Coturnix japonica: one gene and its partner. The protein of the gene in region 1 interacts with the protein of each later gene in a pairwise test. Links are inferred from orthologs where the notes say so. Each region holds a gene or a part of one and is shown in the gene's direction. Other genes may lie near its edges.

What was found.
Region 2: the proteins of PDIK1L (region 1) and C21H1orf174 interact in binary tests that used the Homo sapiens proteins (3 or more experiments, as listed by UniProt). The two-hybrid records come from large-scale screens. The link is inferred for Coturnix japonica from reciprocal best matches to the Homo sapiens genes PDIK1L and C1orf174.

Annotation. Positions count from the first base shown.
Region 1 is NC_029538.1:2,855,426-2,857,883, reverse strand, and holds part of PDIK1L (serine/threonine-protein kinase PDIK1L), read left to right. Parts: intron 1-1,321; coding exon 1,322-2,062; 3' UTR 2,063-2,458.
Region 2 is NC_029536.1:765,464-769,692, forward strand, and holds C21H1orf174 (UPF0688 protein C1orf174 homolog), read left to right. Parts: upstream 1-1,423; 5' UTR 1,424-1,491; coding exon 1,492-1,557; intron 1,558-1,936; coding exon 1,937-2,419; intron 2,420-2,761; coding exon 2,762-2,872; 3' UTR 2,873-3,862; downstream 3,863-4,229.

The DNA of each region.
Region 1 (2,458 bases):
AGAGATCACTTTATGATAGCCTATGCTGAAAGAGAGAAACCCAGATCTCCCTTGGCTTGCTCTCTCTTCTGCCCACTCCAGGTGATATTACATTACCAGGCTGAGCTGGTGTAGTGTGAGGAGGCCTGGGAAGGGCTGTTGGTGTCTCCTGCAGTGCTTCAGGAGACATAAGCAGAACCAGGCTTATGTAGTGAGCTCTGAGCTGGTGTGGCTTCCTTGTGCCGCAGTCCCAGATCTGGAGGTGGATTCTGTCATCTGGATGCTCTGAGCTGAGACCCAATTACAGCTCCAGTGTGGGAAGAGCTCTGTGTTGGAGTTGCTCCCTCCTGTGCTGTGGTTCCCATCTTGCTGTTATTGGCTGTAAACCCTGAGTATACAGTTTAAGTGCTAACACAGAATTGCTCTTAAATTGGTTTGAGTACTAACTGTGCTCACAACTAAACGTAGCTATCATTTGTTACTAATTTTGCTCTTGGTTTGGGAGAAGGAAGACTTTTTAAAGTTTCTCTATGTATTAATAGCTGTATTCACTTTTGAAGGCCTATAGAGGCTGCATCTGCTTTAGTAAACACTGGTTTAGTGCTAACTAGCAAGTCTGACATTCCAGAGTGTGCAAAGAGCCACCTCAGAGGAGCTGAAAAGACAGGTTTGTAGCTGTGTGAACAGAGAGCAAGCAGAGTTGCTGGTTTATATTGCACGTTGTACAAAGTGGCCACTGGGACTGGCTGCTGGAGTTGTTCTCTGCTTATGTTCTAGTGTGCTGCAGTGAGAAAGGTGTTGCTACAGCAGCTGCTGAGCTGTGCCTATGGATTAGCATTCTCCTGAGCTAAGAGATCCTGTGCTAACGCTTGCTAGAATGCATTCACGTGTCAGGGATGGAGGGCAGGCTCTTAAGAACGTGTAGTGAGGCCGCCTTATAAGCAGAGGACAAACCCAGCCCTGTGCTGCTGTGCAGGGGTTCATGGTTGGGGCTGTGTTTGTATTTGGAGTTAGCAAAATGGGTGGGACGCTGGCCAGCCGAAACAGATGGGAGTGCAAGGACTGCTTGATATCCTTCAGAAAGCTGTTATCTGGGGCTGGCTCTGGCTTCTGGGTAGGAGCGTGAGGTTGATATGCTTCACACGCACACAGAAATAACAAATACATTGTGATTTTTTTCCTTTTTACATCATAAGTTTTGCATGAACTCGTTTGGCAATACCTTACTCTCTGAGCTGTTGAGAGGAAGATCCAAAATGTGTGCTTTTTTTTTGTTTTTCCATCATATCTTTCTATTTCTGTGGTCATCGGGTAGTTGTGACACTTCTTTTCCTTATTGCAGCTTGTAGAGACCTCATTAAAAGGAGAAATAGTCTTTGACCCCAGAAGTGCTTATTACCTTTGGTTTGTAATGGATTTCTGTGATGGAGGAGATATGAATGAGTATCTGTTGTCTCGAAAACCTAACCGCAAGACCAACACCAGTTTCATGCTTCAGCTCAGCAGTGCGCTGGCTTTCCTGCACAAAAATCAGATTATCCATCGTGATCTCAAACCTGACAATATTCTGATATCGCAGAGCAGGATGGATGCCAGTGACTTGGAGCCCACATTGAAAGTAGCTGACTTTGGGCTGAGTAAGGTATGTTCAGCTTCAGGCCAGAATCCTGAGGAACCAGTCAACGTAAATAAGTGTTTTCTATCGACTGCCTGTGGGACTGACTTCTATATGGCCCCCGAAGTCTGGGAAGGACACTACACTGCCAAAGCAGACATTTTTGCACTGGGGATCATAATCTGGGCAATGCTAGAAAGAATCACATTCGTAGACACAGAGACAAAGAAAGAACTCCTGGGTAGTTACGTCAAACAGGGGACAGCCATTGTGCCCGTTGGAGAGGCACTGCTAGAAAACCCTAAGATGGAACTGCTCATCCCCGTAAAGAAAAAATCCATGAATGCACAGATGAAACAGTTGATTAAGGAAATGCTGGCTGCCAACCCGCAGGACCGTCCTGATGCTTTTGAACTAGAGCTGCGATTAGTCAACATAGCTTTTAAAGACAGCAGCTGGGACACATGACCTGCAGAGTGGTGGTCTCTTGGAAGGAGCTGCTCCTTGCCCAGCTGATGGTGCAACTTAATGGCAGTAAAGAAACGAGGCCGATCTCAGACCCGCAGGGTGTAGTTTCTATTGATGGAATTTTGTTTGAGTTCCGCTCGTTCTAAGAATGTGAGTTGGCAGTTGTGTTAGCGATGCGTTGTGTTTTGTTTCCAGGATGTTATGTGTTAAGTCTTAAGATGTGACAATGTTCATTTGTGTACGTTGGCAGTGGGACATCCTAGGAGCTGAGGTTTGATTTCCGGCCATATCTCAGAGTATTTAATACATTCCAGTTTCCTATATCAGTATTAGGAACTCTCCTGGAAGAAGAGATTTGCATGCTGGTAGTGCAGATCTTCAGGTTTGTAAAGTAAT
Region 2 (4,229 bases), on another chromosome or scaffold:
ACCAGTCCGTGCTCTTGCTGGATGCTTGGTGTGTTTGATAGATCTCTCATTCAACAGTTCGCAGCCGTTAACGTTTACAGGCAACATTATTTTTGGCTGCTGTCCCTTGCATGTCACTAATGTTTAACCAAATGAACTCGGAGGATTATAACAGACAGAGACACTGGTGGAAGTGACAGGCACAGAGACAAGTGCTGCAAGAAGCTAATTTACACATCGAATTTCACAGCCCGAGCCTCCCATCCTGCTCAATAAGCTCATCAGCTGCTGCTTCATACCCGCCAGCCAGCTCTCATAAAAACGAGGGAGCTCAGAAAATCGCCTTGTTGGTTTTTTTTCCCTCTTTCTCCTGCCTGCTTAGACAACAGATTCTAACAAAACCCACTTTTTAATACGGTTGAGACCAAGCCCTCTTTTATGTGGAAATGTGAGTTTAATGTAAATAGTTTGAGCCGCTCTGCTTGGCTTTCAGGGCTTGTTGGCTGCCGGTGGTCTCTGTGCAGACTTTCAAGGCACTCAGGAGTCACTGAGCTGCTGAAACATGGGCAGGTCTCTTAGGGGGCTCTTGCTGCCTTTCCTGCAGTGAGAAGAATCTAGGAGCCTCGCAAAGAAGCTCGACAGGTTGATGGTTGGGCTTGACAACCTCAGAAGTCTTTCCAACCCTTATGATGCTGGTTCTAAGCCCTGCTGTTCTGGCTTTGTCTGTGCAAGGTGTGCATCCCCTGGATGTGTCCGAGGCCACCTTGCTGAGTCTGCCACCTCGGTGTTATAGAAACCATCCATTAACATCTCCAAACGGCTTTTTATTTTCTTGCTATTTTCAGTTCACAGAGGAAATCGAGACGGCATCCAAGCTTTCCAGCAGCAAAAATGCCTCTCTGCAGCCAGCTCCAGTCTCTCCTGTTTACGAGGCAGTATAAGTTCTCACTGTATAATAAAAACAATCATCTGTATTCCTTGGCTGCGAGCAACAACACTGAGAGCGGAGCAAGTTTCGGTGCTTTGGAGGAGAATATGAATCATCTCAGCCATAGAACAAAGCACAGAAGACCCCTGAGCGCTGAGCAGGCCTGTTTTCCAACCTGGAGCTGAGAAAGAAAACATCTGAGCTGGATATCCTCAGAGGAATATTGCTGCTGAATCTCTGAGGCTCAAATTGTTGCTTTTTCCAGGCCAGGATGTGCAATGGCAATGTTATCTGCTGGCTATCTGCACCATTCCTTCCCTGAGGGCTGTGGGGAAGGGATAACGACTTCCCAATGCACATCTTAGAAGCAAAGCTTTCAAAAAGAAGGCGCTGGGAAGCAAAAGACCCGAAGTGTTTATCACATACACAGCCTACATACACATTTATTTTATTTTATTTCCACTGAAGGCGGTTTAACACCGCGATGGGCCTAGCACCCCAAGGCATCTCTCCGCCCCTCCTGTGGTGAAGGGCGGCCCGCAGCGCCGGGCTCGGACCTGGCCGGGACGCTGCTCCTCCCCAAGATGGCGGCGGGCGGGAAGGGCCGAGCCGGGGCGGGTAGCGGAAAAGGAGACGGGGGGAGCCGGCAGGTGAGGGCCGAGCCGGGCTGATACCATGGACCGGAGGGAACATGGGGTGACTGGGGAGGGAACGGGCTGTGGAGGCTGTGCTGTGCCGTTGTGGTGGCAGGGGGCAGGCCTGGAGCGATGGGGAAGCGGCCAGCGGTGATGTCCTCCGCCTGGCACCCATCGTGGGGGTGCTCTATTTGGGCCTTTCTTTTCCTCCTAAATGCTCTTTTATTTATTTTATCTTTTATTATTTATGGGGAAATAATCTTTTCCCATAGTGGCTGTGCTTGGTGCTACAGCTCAGGAGGTTTCTCGCATGGAGTTTCATGCCACACGAGCTGGTTGCTGCTGTGTTCGGGTGCTTTTGAACTTCATGTGCTTCTCTTTGTTTTTCTAACAGGCTTCTTCACACAAAGCAGTTGGCAGACGGCCCTCCAAGAGGCTAAAATGTGAAAGAAACAGTCGGGTGAAGTCAGGACTGGAAGGCTGTATGTGTGAGAGTGAGAACCCTCCTGCATCTAAAACACCTGCTGAGGGCTCACCATCAAAAGGTACAGATCACCACGAAATTCAGCTGGAAAAAAGTGAAAGAATTCCAGAGACCGGTGGAGAAAAACAGGAGAAGGAAGGTGATGTTTCTTCAAAGCCACATGCGGCAAAAGCAAGTAGTGCACCTTCAAAAACAGAAAGCAATGAGGATCTGCAAGATCGTGCCTGCAGGGAGGAGAACAGCTGTGAGAGCTTGATTTTGGAAGGGAACTGCTTGAAGGATGGAGACGTCCCTAAGAAACTAACAGAACTAGATAACAGTGCTTTCTTGGATGAAGACAGTAACCAGCCGATGCCACTGGATCGGTTCTTTGGAAACATTGACTTTATGCAGGTAAAGGTTGAGTCTGCCTTTAATATTATATACATTTGGACACCTGATGCCTTCATCTTTTATCCATTTAATGAATGTTGTGTTTAGTGGGAGCAGTGAGGATTCACTTGTGGAGGACTTTATCTCCTCTGCATCCTTTTTGACTGCAGAGAGAACAACAGCCCTCACTTGGACCATGAGCTGGTTCAGACAGGCTCCCCTCTGCACTCTGTAAAGGTTTATTCAGATGTGTGTGTGTTAATGCCTCATGTATGAGACTGGGGAAGAATGGGAACTGCTGGAGATGGGGGAGGTTTGCCATCTGCAGCAACTTCACTTCATCATTTCATCTTTTTCTTCAAGGATGAGCTAGCAGCTGTTCTCCCGAGCACAACAATGAGCAGGCGGGAATACAGAAGGCTGCATTTCATCGCCAAGGAAGATGAGGAGGAGGACGACGAGGATGTTCTCTAGCAGCAAACTGTAAAACACAGGAAACTTTTCCTTGTCTTCCTACCAGAGCGATGGTGGTAGGCTGTATCACTGGCATGACGTGTCAGTATTTGCATTTTCTTAGAGAATGGCTAGAGTCTGTTTCTAGAGTTGGCAGATACAGTATTCCCCCTCAGTTTTCTGGGGCAGAGTTTGACTGAATTCCATCTTCCACCACGTCAGCTGTAAGCATTGCCCTTTTAATAGCTCTATAATGCAGATTGTTCAGTGTTTTCAACTGACTTCCAAAGGTTGTGAATAGAAGTTTCACAAATACATTGGCAGTGAAAAAGGCAGAACAGAATCTCTCAGTAGGACTTTAACTGGTAGACAAACAAGTAGTGGTGGCCAAGTAGATATGGGTCAGTCCTTCAAATCTGTTCCTTCTGGCCTGCATTTTTACATGAGCAACCTCACGAACTGCTAACTCATGCAGTGTTGGTGATAGTACTTTGAAAGTGTGATTCTGCAAGAAGCTCCCAGATATTTATTATTATAAACACAGAAGAAAGTATTTCTAAAAATACAGAGAAAATATAATCAGCAGATGGTTTAAATCAATATTAATTTCTACAGCTACAGTATGTTGAACATTCAAAAATCTGAAGCCAAACAAATTGTATATGCATGACATGTTAATTTATTCAAATTCCCACTCCAGTTGATGTATTGTTTCTGTCAGTGCCAGTTCTTGGCTCCTTTTTACTCTTAAGTTTGTAACACTGCAAAAAAAAACCTTCCTATTTTGGTGTATACGTGGTTTTCATCACAACTCCATCTAAAAGCAGTTCTCCCAGCTCTCCCTTAATTCCTTATTAGCTGACTTTTTTTTTTCCTAGGCAGTCTCTTTACACACACTCAGTGTAAAATGGTGTTAGTAGGAAATGTGCCATGCTGACAGCACAATGCTTGTTGTCACATCTTTATTGCAGTCCCTTCCCCAATACCAAAACACCAGAATGTGCATTTTCACTTCTCTTACTGTTGATGTATATTCAGTGAGATGATCAGGATCAATCCAATGGTGCTGAAACTCCATACTAAAAATGCATTTGCTTATTTTCACGTTGAAATGTTTGGGAAAGGAATTGAATTTACTGCTTTAATTAGCACTGTCTGTAGCAAAGCTCCTGCATTTCCAAGCCCTAGCAAGTCAGGACTCACACAGCAATACTGTCTTAATAATAATCTTGTCTGAACTAGATGAATTGATCTGATAAGAAAGAGAACCAGTGATAGGAAGAAACTGGGGAGAAAAATGCAAAACAAAACCAAAACCAGCAACCAAAGTAAACACCCAGAACTTTCCTAGAGGTAAATGATGATGATGTCTGCTAAC